2 linked regions of the Caenorhabditis elegans genome follow. The protein of the gene in region 1 purifies or fractionates together with the protein of each later gene. This does not show direct contact. Each region holds a gene or a part of one and is shown in the gene's direction. Other genes may lie near its edges. The genes, in order: ddx-19 and rund-1.

The links.
Region 2: the proteins of ddx-19 (region 1) and rund-1 fractionate together in Caenorhabditis elegans (co-fractionation; one large-scale study listed by BioGRID). This does not show direct contact.

What each region holds. Positions count from the first base shown.
Region 1 is NC_003280.10:8,881,506-8,892,585, forward strand, and holds ddx-19 (RNA helicase), read left to right. Parts: upstream 1-3,393; 5' UTR 3,394-3,402; coding exon 3,403-3,468; intron 3,469-3,674; coding exon 3,675-3,726; intron 3,727-3,772; coding exon 3,773-3,883; intron 3,884-3,962; coding exon 3,963-5,189; intron 5,190-5,531; coding exon 5,532-5,589; intron 5,590-5,638; coding exon 5,639-5,697; intron 5,698-5,748; coding exon 5,749-5,855; intron 5,856-5,900; coding exon 5,901-6,187; intron 6,188-6,340; coding exon 6,341-6,617; intron 6,618-6,667; coding exon 6,668-6,792; intron 6,793-6,841; coding exon 6,842-6,952; intron 6,953-7,115; coding exon 7,116-7,194; intron 7,195-7,247; coding exon 7,248-7,692; intron 7,693-7,736; coding exon 7,737-7,801; 3' UTR 7,802-8,195; downstream 8,196-11,080. Other genes in the region: rha-1 (ATP-dependent RNA helicase A), read right to left, coding at 1-97, 147-321, 368-856, 905-1,165, 1,218-1,354, 1,406-1,452, 1,510-1,940, 1,984-2,154; T07D4.5 (P53 and DNA damage-regulated protein 1), read right to left, coding at 2,306-2,407, 2,453-2,587, 2,633-2,824.
Region 2 is NC_003284.9:653,908-663,765, reverse strand, and holds rund-1 (RUN domain-containing protein), read left to right. Parts: upstream 1-1,988; 5' UTR 1,989-2,008; coding exon 2,009-2,114; intron 2,115-2,158; coding exon 2,159-2,225; intron 2,226-2,471; coding exon 2,472-2,616; intron 2,617-2,661; coding exon 2,662-2,889; intron 2,890-2,932; coding exon 2,933-3,169; intron 3,170-3,220; coding exon 3,221-3,351; intron 3,352-3,818; coding exon 3,819-3,942; intron 3,943-4,007; coding exon 4,008-4,319; intron 4,320-4,367; coding exon 4,368-4,492; intron 4,493-4,920; coding exon 4,921-4,988; intron 4,989-5,035; coding exon 5,036-5,142; 3' UTR 5,143-5,289; downstream 5,290-9,858. Other genes in the region: lpr-7 (Lipocalin domain-containing protein), read right to left, coding at 5,342-5,435, 5,559-5,742, 5,790-5,859, 5,910-5,995, 6,038-6,086, 6,686-6,803, 6,935-7,057, 7,112-7,180 and 1 more; Intermediate filament protein ifc-2, read left to right, coding at 8,945-8,976.

The sequences.
Region 1 (11,080 bases):
TCATCTGGTGGAGGTGGTCCTCCCTTTTTCCGTTTCTTTTGATCTGGTTCCTCAGGCATATGCTGAAGATTGTGAAGAATGTCTTCCAGGTAGAATGCTGAAATTTTAAATTAATTTAAATATAACTATTTTTATCCAGAACTTACATTGTACAGGAAAAGTTCTTCCATGCATCGTGATAACTGGTGTCGGGCCAACATCTGGGATAGAGCTGAAGAAATTGGTAAACAAATCAGTGTCGATGGTGGCAGACATGAGTACCACACGTAGATCTCGGTATGTGCTAATCATTTCGCGGAGCACAATAAGAACAAAGTCAGTCTGAAAAAAAAAGATTTTTAATTTGATGTGCAGTTTCAACACTCACGTCAACATCCCGTTCGTGAATTTCATCGATGATTACATGTGAAATTCCTCGTAATCCGTTCTCCATCATTCGCAGCAAGACTCCAACAGTACAAAACATGATAGATCCATATGGCCGAGGAGTTGCACTATCGAATCGAACATTATATCCGCATGTTTCTCCAACTTCTTCTCCTCGCTCGTTGGCGACACGTTCGGCCAGTGAAATTGCAGAAATACGACGAGGTTGAGAGACGACTGCATTGAAAGATGCTCCATTAGAATTTTCCAAAAAACTTTCCAGTAGAAATTGAGCAACTTGAGTACTCTTTCCACATCCAGTTTCTCCTTTGATCAGTGTAACACGATTTTCTGCGACGGTTTGTACAATGTTTTCACGATACTGGGCGACAGGGAGTTCTCCACGTTGAGCTGTTATTTTGTCAAGTGCTTCACCTCGCTTGAAATCCTCTTTTTCCATTATTCTCTGACTAATTTGCTCCATTGACATCTGAATTTAATTTAATTTTAAATTATTCGCTTGAATCAAAAAACTTACAAAAGCTAATGGTTCCTCATCGATATTCGAAGCTCTCCATGGATTCCAATTCTGAAGAGGAGGTGCCCAGGAGATATTCGAAGCGGAACAAATTTCTGAAACAGGGAACTGCGCTAGTTTAACATCCGTGAGCAGTGAGGTAGGAGCTTCCGGAGTTGCACTCGTTTCGTTGATTTCTGGCAACTCAAGACCGCACGACCGAACATATTCTGTCACTCGAGTTGAGAGATCTTCTGGAATGGAAATCGCAATTTCAGGAAGCTGAAAATTAATATAATAAACTTCAAAACAACTTAAACTCAGAAAAACTAACCGTGCTGACTTTACTCTTCTTGATTGGTCCACTGTACGATTGCATAATATTGAGATGGAACATCTGACGAACGATATTCATTGCACACGCCGCTTCAGAAACTTTCTTGTTAGATCCAGTACCTTTTCCAACGAGATCTGTAAACATTTTCATTTTTTATTTGGATAAAAGACGATAAAAGAACGCACTTTTGTTGATTTGAGGAACAAAGATTTGGGCAGTCGTCTCCATTGTTCTGTAAATATTTTGGTATGAAAAAAATGAAGTAATTCTTCTAATATGAAAAACTTACTTAACGGTGTTTGATTCTCGAATTTTGGTTCCATAGTTAACCTGTGGAAGTCTCATTTTTTGAAGAAACTCATTCAGCGCTTTCTTTGAATTCTCCATCGTCCATCCTCCATGAATTTCTGATTTTAGATCAACAGTTTCCGATGCAGCAATTTCTTCTGCTTTCTGTGTAATATATTGTTCATGTGTGCCCTCGTTACGTTGATATGCATTGTTACTCCAAGGAAATCTTTTTTGTGGAATTGGTTGCTGTGACTCTTGGAACGAGTTGCCATCTTCTCCACCACAAAACATTGTAGCAGTTTCAGAATCTTGCCACGTGGAAGAAGCTTCAAGACTCGAAGACGTTAGAGTCGGAATATCACTCTGTTGCATTTTTCCTTCTCTGACTAGGTATTGGCAGAAATCTTGAGCAGCATTGGTAGCAGCATCCTGAAAACTTTTGATAAAAACTGATTTCCCAAGTAGCACGAACCTTTTTGTTTGTGGAATTTCCGAAAGCAGTGTAGCCAAATCCTGTGATCCGAAGTTCGCATTTGAATCTCTGCCTACCACTCCTGGTTTCACTTTTTGTATCGTACGTCGGATTTCCATACTTATTCTTTCCTAACCAAGCATATAGAAATTCTTTGACGTCTCTGGACATCTAAAAATAATATTTAACAAGATTTAAAAAGTCGCGAATAGTTCAAATAAAGAGACGAGAAATTAAACTCGGATATACAAGAACAGGATAACAATACAAATTTAAGTATTTTAATATCAATTCATTGACCCGTATTCAGATATTTCATAATTTAATCAGTTAATTTTCCGTCTTTGAGCAATGGCTTTAAACCGAAACCACGTTCTTCTAGATTTCGCTTCTTGTGTAGTTTGAGAAATGTGTCCATGTCTTTCTGTAAAAAAACAATTCAATTATCGAATTAATATTTTTATTTTACCTTGATAACTTCTTGAATCTGTCCACGAACTTCTTCGACAGTTTTCGTATCTTTCTCCAAAATATTCAAACTATTTGCTTGGCTTGTTTGAAGGAAGCACGTTCCATTGTATATCCAAACTGGATCAATATCCTTCTGAAAATAAGTTATTCAGTTTGCATTATTGTTTTACAGACAAACCTCTTTGATTTTTCGGCTAACTTCTCGAAACTTCTGACGTTCATTATCCAGATTCACACATGTTTCTTTGGCGTGATTTAATTTCGTTGAAAGGTAAATTATCTCTGAAGTTTTGTCGCGTAACTCTTTTTGATGGTCATGCGGTGTTTTTGCGTTGTTCAAAGCCATTCCAGTAGACAGGTGAGTGATCATTTTCTTTAAAAAATAACAATTAGCAAGAATATCATGATACTTGCAAGTTAAAAATCCTAAATTTAAATATTAAGATATGTTTGTCGTATGATCTGGTGCATTGTGTGCATTACTGTGTACGGTGTACTGTCAACCGTACCCATTTTCGAAATTGCTCATCTCAATTTCAGATGTTTTTATTGGCGTCGATCCTAATTTTTTGTTTGTTTATTCTATTTATCTTTCATGTGTGCGTCATTTTTATAACTTCAAATGTTTAAAATACATTTTAAAGTTAAATTTCATATATTTTGTGGAAAAATGCCCTAAAAAGAAGATAGATTTTGTACTTCCCTGACCAAACAATGTGTTTACATGCATTATCAATGGCAAAATAGAGAAAACACTTCTAGAATAACTATTTCCTACCCTGTCGATGAACCAAAGAACTATCTTCTTTCTGCAATCTCTCCCTTCTCGGGTTCATGTGTCGACCCAAATTTCGCCTCAACATGTTTTCTTTTCAATTTCGTGTTCCGATCTTTAATTTGTCCTGAATACTAACAATGAATTATCGTAGTTCTCATAACAGATCGAAAATGGCTGATTGGGGTATTGCATTCGACGAGCAGTGTCGATCGGAAGGGCTTGAAGTGCCAGAAAAGGTGGTCGGATTTGTTAATGTCTATGTGTGTTCGTGATTGTTTGTCTGTTTGTCCGTCCGTGTTCCGAGAGTTTCGGCTCTTTTCTCTTGCACTGTACAATTGCTTTTTGCTTCTACCTCGCACAATTTTCATGCTTCTTCCCTGTATGTGTGCGTGGAAACCGAGTGCATTTTTTCAGCGGAACGGAATATATTAATTTCTTTCAGACCGAAAAGGTGCAATCAGGCTCGGAAATGGATCAAAATGAAGAGAATAAAGGTAAGATTCATCGGAGAAACTTCTTTCCTAACAGTTATTTTTACAGGATCAAATGGATGGGGAATTAGCCGAGGAGGCATGTTCGGCGGACCAAAAGCCAGTAATGCTCCACCACCTCAAACTTCATTCGGATCAACTTCGGGAACCCGTGTTGGTGGTAAGTGTTTATATCTGTTATGCTTGTACTGTGTCCATTTATCCTTTTGTTCCTATTAACTTCCCTATCGCAATTTTAGGTTCATTCGGAGGCCAAGCAGGGGTGGATGGCCGTGGTGCACCACTTGGTTCAGCAGAAGAACTCATTGGAGGAGGTAATATAATTTCTGTTGGAATTCACAAAGAAAAACCTGCATGTAAACGTGGTGGAGGCTTTGGCACTAACCGCAGCATGGCACCTTGTCCACCAGCAATAATTAAGAATAACCATGAAGGAGGACGTTTTGGAGTTTTAGCCCCGAGAACGCTGAGTGGATCGATTCCGCAAACTTCTACGAATCTTGAAGATTCTACACCAAAGACATCCACTGGAGGACGTTTTGGAGCATCAATCTCTCAAGGTGGAGCATTCGGTGCAAAAACACAATCATCGAGCGTTGCTCCGTCTGTTGGTGGAGGATTTGGAGTGAAATCTCCGAATATTGTCAGCAACGATATGCCTAAAGTTCCGGTAATGAAATCGGTTGGTGGCGGATTTGGTTCATCTATGAAGTCACCAGCGACAACCGGAGGAAGTTTTGGTTCCTCTACAGTTGTAGCATCTATTCGTTCAGAAGAAAGTTTTGGAATCAAGTCTTCCGCTTCGGCTGGAGGGTCTTTCAACAGCTCTTCGGCATCAGCATCCCAATCGAGAACTGTGGCTAGCTTTGGATCGAAACCATCAAACGAGAATATCTCTAGCAATTCTTCTGCACTTTCTTCATCTTCAAGCTGTTTTGCAGCAAAACCAACTTCTACTTCAGCTGGAGGAAGTTTTGGAAACCAACCGTCTAGTTTCTCATCGAAGCCGTCATTTGGTGGTGCCTTCGGAGCTTCAACATCCGTCACAGGAAGTTCTTCGATGGGAGGATCTTTCGGAAACAAGTCCACAAAAGTTCCAGATGTTGAAAGCCTATCACCACCAGAAATCTTAAGAAACCCATCAAATACCTCAGGCGGTGCTTTCGGATCGAAACCATCTTTTGCTGCTTCATCGTCTGAACTTCCTGCCAATAAGCATGTCGTCGGTGGAGGTTTCGGTAGATCAACTGCTCCAACGGTCAATACCTCAGTTGGTAATGAGTCTGGGCGTCTGCCTTTCGTAGAAACACGAAATCCGAATACTGAACAAGAAACATCGAGCTCCGTCAGACCATATGGAGCGAATTTCAATTCAAAATCCGAACCTGCTCAAAAGAATCCATTTGGCGGAAATTCAAGCTCTACCAAACCAGAGTTCAAGGAAAATGAAATGAAGAACTCGAGTGGTATGTTTTTGGGTATAAGAATATTTTATAGATACCAAATTCCAGGAAATCCCGGGTTATCAAATGATAATAATATTTTTGCCAGATTTTTGGTGTAAGACTTGCTTGTTTGCTTGATATTAACCTACCCTTTGTGTTTCACCTAAACACGATGTAATTAAAATCCACGAAATTTCACGTTCTCTTTAACAGTTATCAATTTATCAATTTTGGTTTCAAAAAAGGTAATGCTTAGTTTTGTGGATTTTATTGCACGCATGTCTAATTTTGCACATCATTGCTTGACCCCACAACCAATTCTCCCGTTTTCCTAAATAAATTAATTAATTCATATTTTTCTAGTTCCAATCATGCCAGGACAATCACAACCAATGAGAGGAGGATTCCAAGGAGCGTACAGGTAGTGATAGCAGACCCCCTCGATAACAATAATTATGATTTATTTGTAGAGGAGGACGTGGATCAGGCGGAGGGCAAATGGATTTCGGCGCCCCCGGTCAAGGACAATGTATTTATTGAATATTCATTTCACGTTTTCTGTCTCATTGTTTATTTTCAGCTATGGGACGTGGAAGAGGACAACAAAATCCAGCTTTTGTTCCACGACCAAGAGATACACCACCTCAGTACGGTGGACACCAAGCTGCACAACAATTTGTGAAACCGGTAATTTATTTCATTGTAAGCGATCGAAATCTATTTTTATTTTAGGATTCGAAGTACAAGTTCACGAAACCGGCAACAGAAGAAGCTCATGAACAAGTTCCAGTTCCAGCAGATATTGCTTTGCTAAATAAGTTCATTCAAAAGGAGGTGAAGATGATGAAAGACGTTGTCGTTGACGTGCAAAGACAAGACCCAAAATCTCCTTTGTACTCAATCTCATCCTTCCGTGAACTTCGTTTAAAACCCGAAGTACTCAAGGCTCTTGACACGATGAATTTCCAGTTCCCAACTAGAATTCAAGAAACAGCTTTACCACTTCTTCTTATGGAGCCGTAAGTTCTTTCATACATTTATTTTACGGGGGAAAACCAATGGTGTCGGCCAACAATTTTGGATTTTAGTTTAAAAATAAATTATCCAAAAAGCGACAGTTTTGATGCTAACTAAAATATCCTCAAAGTTTTATTATAATCGTTATTTTTCAGACCATCCAACCTTATTGCTCAAGCCCAATCCGGTACCGGAAAAACTGCTGCATTTGTGCTCACCATGCTCTGCAGGATTGATGTCAATCTGATGTGCCCCCAGTGCATTTGTTTGGCACCGACTCTTGAATTGGCCAAGCAGATCGGAGAAGTTGTTGAGAAGATGGGAAAATTCATTGATAATTTGAAAATTCACTACGCGATCAAAGGAGGAAATATGGCTGCAATGAGAGGACGAAAGCTTACTGAACAAATTGTTATTGGAACTCCAGGGATCGTGAGTTGACTAGTTTATGAAATAACTAATGAATAACTATTTCATTTAAGACTCGCGACTACCTTCAAAAGTACAAGTGCATTGATCCGAGCAAGATCCGTTGCTTGGTACTTGACGAAGCTGATGTGATGATTTATCATCAAGGATTCACTGATATCTCAACTACAATCTATAAGTATGAAATACTGTTTACCAACATAATAATTTACTTGTCTTTTTTTCAGTATGGTCGAAGATGCTTCAGATTCTGTCCAATCAATGTTGTTCTCAGCCACGTACGACGAACCAGTGATCAATTTCGCAACAAAAATCATCAAGAATGCAATTGTAGTAATGTAAGTTTCACAGATGCACTCCCTTTCCAAATCGTAATGTAAGCTTGGAACGGTTTATTTACTCGTGTCTTCATTAATATTGTAACAACTCAGTGGGTGGTCCGCTCTTGAAGCACCATTGTGTCCTCTTCCTCGTAAATCCAAAACCAAAACAAACTTTCAGGTTGAAACGTGAAGAACAAGCATTGCCGAACATTAAGCAGTTCTACGTTCAATGCGCCTGTAGAGATTCGAAATATGCGGTTAGATTTCAGTTTTATAAAAATGCTTATCTATAAACCAATGCAATTTACAGGCTATCGTCAACCTTTACAGTGGACTCGCTGTCGCCTCATCCGTCATTTTCTGTCACACGAAGGCTAGTGTTATGTGGTTGTATGAGAACATGAGAGCAAGAGGACATCAAGTTGATGTTTTACATGGAGATATGACTGTTGTCGAGAGAGCTGATACGATCATCCATTTCAAGCGCGGCGACTTCAAAGTTCTGATCACGACGAACGTGTTTGCTCGTGGAATTGATGTAGCGCAGGTGTCGGTGGTGATTAATTACGATCTTCCGATCAAGTACACCGATGAAGGAACTCCGATGGTGGTGGATGGATTCACTCAACCTGATTGTGAAACTTACCTCCACCGTATTGGAAGAACTGGAAGATTTGGAAAGACTGGTATTGCCATTAATTTGATCGATTCAGAAGACTCGATGAACATGATTAATGTGCTCGAAAATCATTTCCGTGAGTAATACATTTTTTTGCAATGACTAAAATATTATTTTCAGAGATGAAGATCGCTCGAATGGATCCATCGAATTTGGTAGAGCTAGAAGCCATAGAAATGGCATAATCTACAACATTTCATACGTTTTACTGCGGGTCAGTGTTTCCCACTCCCCCATATACCAATCTACTTTTTCACTTATCAAATACAGTTTGCCCCGAATTTTTGCTTTCCTTGACATTGTTGACTCTTTTCCATTTTTTTTTATATTCTCATTATTTTATTAACCAAGCGGATACTTAACACTTCACCATCATCATCATCTCCTTTGTATTTCAGTTCTGGTACGTAAAATTCTCCATTTTTGTTACAATGTGTGGAGAAGGCTTTAGAAACAAAAACGGTTCTAGATATTCTATTAGAGTTGATTGTTTGTGAGTTTTCGTTTTCGCCTTTATCTTGTTATTTGAATCCGAATAAATATTTCCAAAATAAACTTTTTTTGCCCGAGTTCCGGGTTTACATATTCATTTTTTGTTCGTCTTCCCGCTTTTAATTGTTTCCTGCATTATTCAAATTCGTTGCTGCCGTTTGTTTGTCGATATGGAAGATAAACAATGGCAAGTTCACATCTTTGTTAGGAGGGAGGCCTGTTCTCTTCCTTCTTCCTTCATGACAGGTCACTTCTGGCCACAATGCAAACTCAATTGTTATCAGAAGAAAATGGACGGGACCATTGATTTATCTACACTCCTTTTCAACTGATAAAACAATGTTGTCCATCGAGACTGACTCATTACTCTTCCAAAATGAACCCTTTTATTTAATTTTTGTATTCGGTGCCAGTAGCCACTACGTTTTTTTGCTTTAGCAACGAAAATTCCACCGTTTTTTTCATGTGACTCATACATCTTGACTGTACTATTGTTACAACCATAGAAATATTTCTTCGAAATCGCTAAAAAAAATACAGAAATTCTTCTATTTAGAAAATAGGCTCATTACGAATTTATGGCGACTGGTCTCGCAGCGACCGAACAATTTCGAGTGTGTACCTTTAAGGTGTACTACTGTAGGTCCTCACAATTTTATTTTATCTTCGAGGAAATTCTCGTTTTTTTGCTTTATTTTAGCAGATTTTTACGTTTCTCTGCATTTTTTTTGTATTTTCTACTGGACTTTTTCAAGGCTAACACTATTCTGTATTTTAAAACCATTTTTTCCGTGAAACTTAGTTATTTCTTTCGCAAAAAGGCTCTAGCGCTATCAAATTCTATTTATCTCGTAGAAATAAACTTTTAAACAATAGATCGTGAAAACCTAGTTGGCTGCAATATAAACCCAAATCATTCACCTTCAATAAATTCGGTTCGGTAACGCAATAACTATTCCTCCTCCGCCACCAGTAGTAACAACAACAACACGGAAGAGGCATAATTATGGAGGCAGTAATCGTGGTTATAAACTCATATGTATCCTCTCTATTCCTCCGATCATATCCTCTGTGGCAATCTGATAATAATTCAGTACAGGATGATTGTTTGGAGGGGTTCTTCTCGCCACTTTATCTGTTTTCCTAATCTCTTTCCTCATTTTTCCTTCACTTTCTCACTCACCTCTTCCTTCTCTCCGGATAAATAAATATTACGGTAATATAATGATGGATGGTGTCAAGGTAAGCAGCGAAGAGAGGCGCAGAGACAGTGGACCAGCGATTTGTCATTGTGTTATCATTCTGATATCACAATGAACACCAACAACCAACCATTATTCATTGGCTCTGAATATATTGTTTCTTGATAGTTTCCATCTACGTTGTAAAGATTCGGAAGTTCTTGTTCAGAAAGTTGGCGCAGTTTTTAATTAAAACTGTCAGGTCGGCGGTAGTCACCAAAAGTTTTTTTTCGTCCTTTGAGAAGTAGCGCCGCCCGTTTGTGACAGAAGCGAGTCAGAGTTGCGTAATGCGAATCGAACCGGTGGTCTCTCTAGTCAGTAAACAATATTCTTGATGGAATCTGAATAAAAAAATCTTCAGCCTTGTTGCATTTGAATTGCCGCCACGAGAATCCGCAAAGTGTTTGCGTACATTCGCATACCGTAACCACACATAAAAACATGTTTTTTCTTTCGAAGCAATTTTTATTTTCCTTCTTTTTTAAAGTTTTAAAAACTGCTTTTTAAATGTGAAATTGGTTTCTATCTAGAAAATTTTAATGATTACTTGAAATTCAACAATTTTGCTGTAAAATTTTTTAAAATTTTCATTCGTTTGTCCCATTTAACTTGAGGTAAATTGTTATTTTAGAATAGTGTTTGCAACGCCTTTACATCTTAAAATTTAGGAATTCATTGTTTTCGTTCAGTTCTCTGTCGACGTATTCTATTGAAACAGCTGTTGTCCGTTCGAGAAACGCCCTTCACTCCTAAGTTCACAGTCGAGCGCGCCTTTGCCTGTATCACTATCGATTTCTGCTGATAACATCATTTCAACACGTTTTCTCTCTGCAAAAGCCCCGGATTTGTCTCCTGCGCACACGCACTATTTCGTGAAAAGCAACAAAAAGTCGACGAGTGCTTTCAATTAGACGCAACCAGTAAGCCTTCTTTTCTTTTTCCGAGTGCGCAGGTGTCTTTACTTCCACTTTTTTGCTCGTTTTTTCTGTCTCCGTCTCTAGCTGATAAATGGAGAAACACTTGTCGTCGACACTCGAGAAATTTGTTATTCCGAGGTTTCAACAAAGGTGGCAAAAGAGAGAAAAACTAACGGGAAAGCTGTCATGAATATGTCAAAAGCTTCCATCTCCTATTCTTTTTGCTATTTGTATTATGTTATAATTAGTTCTCTTGTTTGTTATTTTTTCTTCTACGAATTCTCGAAAAATGTTTTTGTCTCTGAATGTCTTCATTTTCTAGCAGCTTTTTTCGAATGTTCCCACGATATAGTTCCGTATCTTATCAAAACTACTATGGCAACTTGGCAACAGTGAAACCAGTACGAATGATGGATGTGTGTGACTCTGCGAACCTAGTTTCCTTTTTGTGCTCCAGAAATTTGCATATCTCTTGTTCAGTGGCAGTTCTCAAGAAGTTCCCCTTCCGCTCTTGCTTATGTTTCTCACACTTCCTTCATTGTTTGACCAATGCCTGCCAGTGTCCAAATATTCCTCCGGCGCCGACCTTTTCATCAGACTGTCCGCTGCCTGGACAGGTGTAAAAACAAAAAGGAAGCTCGTCTTTAGATGTCTCGATTAGTTTTCTTCACTCATTTATATTATTATTTTATCATAAGATTTTCTGAAGTTATTCTGATTTTTCTCGGAAAATCTGGTGAATTGATAATGCGAACACACAAAAAGCTCGAATTAATGTGCAGCCGGGCGTCTTCACGATGTTCCCTCTGCATCT
Region 2 (9,858 bases), on another chromosome or scaffold:
CAATAAAAATACAAGCAAAAAGACAAGAAATTGTCAAATGATCACTATCCCAATATTTTTTAAAATTTCGAACTATCGAAATGTTAAGATTTCCTAAAAGAAAAAAGAAAAATTTCAAATTGTATTTAAAAATATTAAAAAATAAAACAACTTATATTTAAAAATATTTTATTTATTTTTTTCTGACATTTGTTATTTGCCAAGACTATTAAAAAATTGTCAAACTCCCTACTCACCAATTTGTCAAACATTTTAAAGTTTGGCAATTTCCGAAAATGCGGACAAACTCAAAGTTAGACAAAAAAAATTTATTTGTTTTAATATAAATTCATTGAGAAGTGAGCAAAAGATTTACTTTTTTAAGTAATGTGTATGTTAAGTTGCTAAATAACTAAATAAAATGTTTTCAAATTTTCTTGAAACATAAAACTTTGTTTTTGATCTCACTATCAGCTTCATTATATAGCGTTAAATCAAATTTGGAAAGTTTCGACAGGTTTTTCTCATTAAAATATTAGCAGGTCTCAGATACTTCGAGTTTAAAAGTAAAACAACAAATGCATAGGCTTGAGAACTTTTAGGAAATTAGAAACTTTATGTTTGTGGCAAGTCTTAGCAATTGCTGAATTTTAAAATTTTCAGAAATTTCAGTAAACTGTCGATTTGCGAAATTTACGGAGAAACGGCAATTGCTGAACATTTTTTGGTTTTTCAATTTTGAAATTTAATTTTCGAAAATTTAAAAATGAATGCATTCATTAAATTCTCTCAGAGCCAACACGAAAAGTGAATAAATTCGCGCCACTCTTAAACCAACGTTCCTCACTTCTCAACCAACTTTAGCTTCCCACCACTTTCAAACCATGTTTAACCACTTCTGAACCAACTTTGCCCACTTTTCTACCACTTTTAAGCAACCAGTCGCTTTGCAACCAACCTTCGCCACCTTTCGCCGTTTGTAGTCTTCTTTAGCCAACTTCAACCAACTTTAGCCACCTCTCAACCAATTATGGCAAACTTTGGCCAACATGTGTTCAATTGTTTTCAATGATTCAGAGCGAGATAATCAGAATTTCTTAGCCAAAAAAAAAGCGTTTGAGATACAGAAAAAACCTCTTTCATTTTTACTTTAATCTCTCTTACCCAATTTAACATACCATACAACTTTTGCCACATTTTCCTACAAAAAACATCAAAAACGGAAAACAATTTCAAAAACTTAGTTGTGAATGCTTTTTTAAATAATTAAATAATTTTTATTAGTTTTGATGATATTATTAAATATATTATTTGACAAATGACAAATTCGGCAGTTTTTCAAAAACATGAAACTAAATCCGCCAGTTCGCTATTTCGGTTTTTGTAGAAATCGTCGTCGCGCAACCCTGGAGCATTTTCAAAGCCATATGAAAATTAAACCCCTCCATGTCGAAAAAGCTCTCATAATTATGTCCGCCCACAAGGATTTCGTTCGTCATTTCCAAGACTAAAAGCGTCCCTTCTCCATGCTTCTTCCGTCTTTCTCCACGTTACCCATGGCGGTCGATAACCAAGAGCGACGACGTGAGAGTGCATGAAGAACACGAGACGCAGTTTGTTGCCTCATTTCTCTGCTCTCTTGCGTGCTCCGTTATTTTTCTCCTTCTTTTTCCCCTTTTTTGTCCGGCAATCCTTTTTAAAAGCATACGTCATCTTTTTCTTTTTCAGTTTTTCTCTTCTCTGAAAACCCTTTTAGCAGAAAAACGGAAATTGGAAAATGAAAAAAAAGTAAAGTATATATTGTTTTTAATGTTTCGTGATGTAATTTATTTGTCCACTCCCATTTTTCATTTTCATTTTGTTTCAATAAATGGAATTTGTTCAGCTTTCAATTAACAATCTCAAAATAATCATCACTTCAAACAAAATTTTGAAAATGTACGTGTTATTCATTCGTAATAATATATAATTATTTTTTTTATTAATTTTTTTTCAACGTATTGTTTCAGGTGCCAGAAATTTTGCCAAAATGATGAACGAGTTGGAAGCCAGCGACTTGCTAGTAGAGTTGGGTCAATCCTTAAAAAAGCGAGCGTCCGAAGATTCAAAAGAAATTGTGGATGGATTGGATTTTTGTGAGTTAAAAGTGATTTTTGTTTTCTGAAATAATTGTTTTCAGATGACACAATGTCTGAAACTGAATGGAAAAGTGCTCGGTTGTCTTCTAGTCATAGTGATGATATTGGGTAAGCTTTTTGTGTAAATTGTGGTCAATGCAACAGTAGGTTCAAAAATTTTAATCCTGAATATCTCATTAAATTGATGTAGTCCAATTATTTTTAATGCTTTATTTCATCAAAATCATTTTTTGACTTTTTCCATAACTTTTTTCGAGAAGTTTTCAAAAATTTTTATTATGAAATTCGGTAAAGCAATAAAAAAAAATTTGACTGCACTACCTTTAACTGATAAACTCAGAACTCAATTTTTAGAAGCTTAAACGATGCATTACGGGTACAACAATTGGAAGAAGAGCAGGAACGACTCAATAACTCGTTATTTTCCCTGAGCTCCCATTTTGCGCAGGTGCAGTTCCGGATAAAGCAAATGAATGAAGCGGACCCAAGCGATAGATTAGTAAGCTATTAGGCTCAGTTGCCTCATCTCATATGTCTTTTCCAGAAGTTGCTCTCTGATCTTCAAAAATTTGCTTTCAAGGGTTGCACAGACATGAACGAGCTGCAAAGGCTACGAAGTGAAAGTGAAAGTGGAAATGATGTACTAGACAAGCAAAATGAACGACAAAAAGAATTGCTAAAACAGCTCCGCGAGCAAGTAGAAGACTTGGAAAGGACTGCCTATGAAAATGGAGAAGGCGAGCTTCCAAGTACTGACATTTTGAAGAAACAGGTTTGTATAAAAGTAAGAGTTTATGCTGAATTTTAATTTGTAGAAAGCCGTTCTGGATAAACTCCGCGAAAAAATCGAGTTAAATCTAGACATAGATAAAATGAACCAAACAGAAATACAACGGCAAGTAGATGATGCTCTGAAGCAACTTGTCAATCCGTTCAAAGAAAAGGGACAACTAGTAGACCAACTTCAGACTCAGATCACAGATTTGGAACGTTTTGTCAACTTTCTTCAGAAAGAGAATGCTGAAAATTCGAATCAAACTACACCGGTTCGGGTATGATCATTGTTGTTTTTCACTAATTTTCTAGTCAATTTTTTCTTTCAGAGCATGGGATCAACGCCGCTGTCTGGTGCCAAATCTAAAAACGGATCATTTTTAAGTGGAATCATCGGGTGCTCAACAGGAAGGTTTCAGAAAAATCAGCTGAAAAATACTTTGAAAGGAAATCATTATGGGTTAGTTTCTCAAGTTTGTGATCGAAAAATATTTACGCTTTTTAAATCGATAAAAATATTTATTAAAAGTTTGATACAAACATGTGAGCAAAAAACACCACTATACGTGTTTGCTCAAACCACAAGATACAGATCACGTATTTGCACACATTTATTGAGCCAAACTTTAATGATGTGTGTTTTTGACATACTACAAGAACTTTGGGTTTCGGATATTTGTCTGATTATAAAAAATTTTAATTTTCACTTTTTCAAGTTTTGATTATGAAACGAACAATCTTCAATTGGTTCTAGCACTGACAAAATTAAATTTTGCACTAACCACTGACCAAAAAATGTAACTTCCCAAATATAATTTTAATGTTCGGTTTATCAAAATATTTTTGCCAAAAAAAACACGATTTTATTGTTCAATTTCCCACATTCACTTCCATTATGCGAGCATCTTTCATTCAAACTTTTTGCAGAGACGAACGGGCGCATGTGCAACTAGCAGTAGACGCCACACAACAAGTGCTGGAAAAATACACCCTACTGACATTCGACTCGGCAACAAAAGGCCAATTAGAAGAAGTTCAAGTAGAAAATGACGTAGGGCACAAAATTCACAAATTCTCACATGAGGAGATATTTCATTTCGCAATATCACATTTCAGGAGGTCTTTGAACGATCTGAAGAGGAAGTGGTAACTATTGTCCGAAAGCAGCTGTGTCTTGCATTGAAAGCCCTTCTAGAGCATGGGATGCTCTCAGAAACAGTGGTGCACAAGCGGATACCGGGGTTAGGCTGTTTTGTCGCAAAAAGCTCGGCGGACGAGAAATCAACGTCATTGAGTCATATTTGGGATGTGATTTTATACTTTTATAATTTAAAAACTGGAAGAGACACCACAGATGCTCCTGTAAGAAAATTGAGTCAATCCTTTAAATTGGATCACGTCGGAGGAAGAAGCATAACTTCAAAACAGGTAGAATCTGTTTTTTTAAGGACGCGAACAAGCGAATTAATTTTTTAGGTTTTGCTGACAACAATTGAAAACATCATCTCGACTCACGCAAGATTAAAAAGATCAAAAGATGCGCATTGGAAAGCATTTGTCTCAGCTGCTTTGAATGAGAAAAAATTACCTGCTTGGTTGAGGTACGGAAGTCTTTTTTTCGTAAAAAAACCGCGCAACTTTTGAATATTTAGATCATACGTTTACCACTTTGTGTACACAAAAAATAAGACGCACTCCAAAATACAGTGCAATTTTAGATCATGCCGTTCCTCCTAGACTGAAAACCTCAGAAAATGTAGAAACACGTCTGAAATAAATATTCATCTTGACAAGGACTTTATCCGCTTGAAATTCCATAAGAATTTTGATGTTTTACCTATTAGAACTTTGCAAGACATTAATTAACTTGTTAGTATTATTGCTAATAATCTCGTACGAGTTCATTTATTTAGGGTGATCTCAAACAAAAAACCAATTATTTTATATCAAATCCTTGAGCTGCTACATATATTAATACCCGTCAATTGCCCTTATTTCAAATGTCCAAACTAATTAAATTTGTTTGCAGGATCATATTTCGAACCCGACAAGTTGTCGAAATGTGCTACAACTCTTGGAGTTATGTTGCAAGAACAGGTGGGTACCATCTTCTCTTTTTTCCATTTTCAACTCGTTATTTTCAGGCTGTGAGGAACTCTACACACTTCTCGAAGGTCTTCACAAATATAGTATTCACTTACCGGTTGACTTGGCTTTGAGGCCATTCGAACAAATCAAAGACGCATTTTAGTACTATAATATCAAAAAATTTGTAATAAGCATATTAAAATGACTGGAACTGAACAATCAAGACAGTTTAAAACAGGTTCGGGATAAAATAAATTAATTGCCACTTTTTTTTTGAAAATTGTTTTATTCAATAAAAACAATAAAATGGAAAATAAATTACGTTAGTACTTAAATGAAAGTGTTGAAGTATGATTGATAATTTACCCAAAAAGATCAGTGAGAACATTTGTAAGATAATTGTATGGAGTTGCTTTTTTGCACTGTGACCAGTCGGCGTAATGAATAGGGTTGCTTCTGAAAAATAATTTTTTATGAAAAGTCAAATTCGATATGAATTCCCAACGGTTGTCGGATACTAAAAAACGTTTTCCGTTCATTAATGTAAGGACATCTTGCGGGCCCAAAAGCCCAACCTACCCTGTGACATCATCCATGAATCCGGCTTTTTCCAAATCGGTCTCCACTTGATCCTTGTACTCTTTATAGAACTTTCTCAAATCTCGAACTAAACCAATCATTGGGAAACGAGCCCAATTTGAGAGAATTAGGTATTCATACTGGTTGTGTTGCTTATTTATTGGGCCAACTACTACAATTTGATCTGAAATTAGTTTTTTGTGATATGTGAAAATTAGCAAAAAAGTTTACATGGACACGGATCATCCTGCATATAGACATATGTTCTCTCGTGATGAATTATTCCGTATCCAAATGCAACCTAAACTTTCAAAATAATATTCTTCAAAATAATTAGTAATTAATACTCACTTTCTCCCCCGCATCTACACTTCCTGCTCTGAACTTTTCCTGCAAACTGAAAGCTGACGAATTTCCCGATTCTGCTTGGGGCATGACTGAAATACATTTCTTGTTGGGGGTTGATAAATTACACTTACACTCAGTTGTAGCGCAATACCGATTATGAACAGATGGAGTGTCCAGAGCCTGGAAAGGTATTGTATTCGTTTCGCATTGAAATTCTATAACTCGAATTTTTTGTTCTAATGAAACATTGTAACTGATATATTTTAAACTAATGTTTCGAAGTTAAAGGTGGAAGTCAATTTGTCACGTTTTTTAAATAAAACAAAAAAAATACTCAGAAATTTTTATTATGTTTGTCTCATAGAAAGTAACTTTTGGAGCACTTCTGCAGTACTAGAAAATTGTGAAAAAAATACAAATTGAAAAAATTAAAGTTTGAAAATTCAGTGGATGTTTCAATTTTTGTGATAGATTAGTGAAATCACAAGTTTTAAATGGGACTCGTCTGGAAGTAACCCTCCACCATATACATACTTTGCTCGTCAAAAAGATGTATATTTTTTTAGTTGTTAAAAAATCACTTTGTCACTTTTTCCCTTTTTTGAGCTGAAATTTGACAATCGTATTGAAAGAAAAATTCATGTTCTGTGTCATTCCGTTGTTAAAAATTTTTTCTTTAGTTTCAAAAAGTCATTACATAATACAAATAATGTATGACAGAGCTTAACACTACTTTTGTTTTCTGATCATTATGGTGATCTCTTATCACACACACTCACCCACTGGAACTTGCCATACAAAGCCCTGACGTCGACTTTTGGCGCGGGCAATAAACTGGCCAGATAATCCTGAGCGCCCGGTATGTTGCGCAAGATATTTTGGAAGAAGCTTGGTGACCTTGAAGAAAAATGAATGATGATTCATACTCTTTTGGTTTTTTCTAACTTTTGTAAGGTTGATTTGAAACAGACTACAAATACTTCTCAAATACATTCATTCCCACGAATTTTGGTCATAAAAAAGCTTACTTGTCCTTAATAAGCGGTGATCCACGTGGCAAACACGATCCGGCTCCTGGTAAACTTCCCAAAAGACCTGGCACAACAGGCATTCCATCTACCAAATTCATAGAAGGTAATGGGTTTTTCAATCTGGAATATTTAAAAAATTTAAATACACTCTATTAAAAACTAAGACAGCATTACTTTTTGGCTAGAGTGTTGTCTGGATTCTTCTGCACTGTTTGCAGGTATTTCATGAGACCGACCGATTGACTGAAAACATTTTTTTTCAAATTATAGCTGCTCTAACTGAAATTCTGTAAATATAAGCTTTTAATGATTTGAGGAATCTTTTTGCAAAAATTGTGATAAATCTGTAGAACCGACTAAAAAAGCAGTCACGATGCATAAATACTTTTGTCAACCAACTTACGTAGCCAGATCCTGAAACGGACCCCTATCATGAGTTCCCGCATCTCCAGTAGACAAACCAAATATTTCCAAAAACTGACAGTTTACAGGTGAGAACGAAAAAAAAATAATAATAGTAAAGAAGTAGAACGTTGCGTGATATAGACCATTATTATGCCGCATTATTATGACGACCACCACCGAAATAGTGTCAGGCGGCGGATATCGTCTCCTCCGTGGAAAAAGGAATGTCGGATAGGGAGAAAGATGACAGTGAGAAAAAGAGAAATCACTGGCACTGTCAGAAAAAATCCGGATTTTTTCTTTATAATTTTAATTGATTATTGCTTATATTGCGGCTAGTTTCGGTTTAATGGAAAGGAAAAGATTTTCAGAATTGAATTTTATGAGAAAAAATAAAATTTCAGATAAAAATTTGAATTTTGATTTCAAACGGGTTTTTTGATTTAGTGTTTAAAGGAGCTCGAGTGAATTTATCGTTTCCTGAAAAAAATGTTTATGATGAAAGTGTACGTCCGTACATTTCCCAGCTTCCAGTAGGGCGTCAAAAAAATTCCGGGGAATTAAATTTGAATCATTAACCAGGGTTGACCAGGGGTAGAGATTGACCAAAATTCACCGGATTGAACAATTTAACTGTAAGTTTACAGTCGAGCAGTGTTCATTTATTGTGGGTGTGCTATTGTGTTACGTAAAAACAAAGCGAGCAAAATAATTATACATTTTTCAAAATTGATCAAGTGCGAAGTAACTTTAGTTAAGAAACTGTTAAGAACATCCAACGGTGCCAAAATAACCAAATATTATAATACAAATTTTTTTCAATAACTGTGATTGTCAAAAGTCAAAAAGTGACAATTACTAAGTTTAGGCCACTTCTTGTGAGAACTGTAGCACTCGAACTCTAATAATTTTCGAATGTTACTTTTTGAAACTTAAATAAAACATAAAATTTGGAAACAAACAATTTTTCCACGACTTCTAAAAAAATAGCAAAATTTTAATACCATTTTTCAAAAAATCATATAAAATTCGGAATATTTATACTATTTTTTTATATGATTTTGTTTCATTGGTATGTCTTCTACTTACAACAACGGGACATTAATTGTCTTTGTATATCACAAAGTTAGGAGAAAATGTCTGCATGCCTGCTTGGACTAGCATTGCCTTGTGCCAGCACGCATTCCTGAACCGAGCCTTTTTTGAATGAATCGACCCCCTTGATCCTACTCATCAGTTTTGTGAACGTTAGAAAATTCGCTGAACTGGATTGATAAATTTTTTGGCATGTCTCTTTCCTGTGACACTTTCTCAATAGTTTCAAAAACCTCAAACTTCCGGTTATATAATATTATCTCTTCAATTCGGGAAAGTTGTGAACTTAACGTGTGAGAATCAATGTAGCACTCAAAAGAGGATTAGCTGAATACAATTACATGCAATCCCAACTTACGGAATACACTTTTGAATATTGAGAAGTTTGGGGCGGAATAACTCCCTTGCCCAACAGTTTTCACGTTATTTGTCAACTAAATATCAACAAACAATTGTAAGTTATACAATTTCCTCACTATCCTTGTTTTCAATCGTTGAGAACTGAATATGCTGGTTCCGTCTGACTCCGGTGGCAAAAAGTGAGTAGATACCTAACAAGGGAAGTCTTTGAGGGGGTCCGTAGATTTGGGGTTCTCATGCTAAAATTCCTACAGAAGAGTGTTAGTTATGATCTCTCCAAAAAATTTAGCTGCCCCGGTCAAGTTTCAGCAAAGTTATGACGTTTTGAAATTTCGGTTAAAAACACCATTGAAATCCACTGTCTTACCATGCAGTCCACGCAAATCTCAGCTTGCGTGACCACCGAAAATGTGACACCCATCACATTGAGTTGAAAAATGTCCTCGGTGGACGAGTTAACTCCCCAATTGGGAGTGCGCGCGTCTGATAAGATTTAAGCTTTGGTTCGATTCCTTCTATTTTTGAAATATTTTTGTAAGTTGAATAAAGTTGTAAAACAACTCATTCAAACATTTTTGCGCATTTTTAAAGTGATTTTATTCTTATTCGGGAGCCTAGAATCATTGTCCGCACTTTTTGGAAATTTTTATTTTTTTCATTGTTGCTCAAAATTTCTTGATCAACTCCAAGCAAAAAATTCAAAAAATTTCATTTTTCTAAACAATTATGAAATTGCTATGTTGTTGTTCAGAAATGTATGAAACGTACATTACACAAGTTTTAACTCTCTATTCGCAAGTAAACCGTCGAAATGATCTACATCTCACGAACTTTGTGCAAAATATGTAACCAACTTTGAAGTTGCATAACTTCGTTGAGATAAATTATTTTGAAAAATGATCAACTAACGAAATGTTTGTTGAATAACAGTGAACAAAGTTTTAGTTATAAACTTTTTGATACCTCCAGCTACAAAGAAGAAAACAAGGTTGGCATTTGGCTAGTTTTTCTATTAACATTGTGTTTTGGAAAACGGTCACAACTTTTTGGTGGCTGAAGGT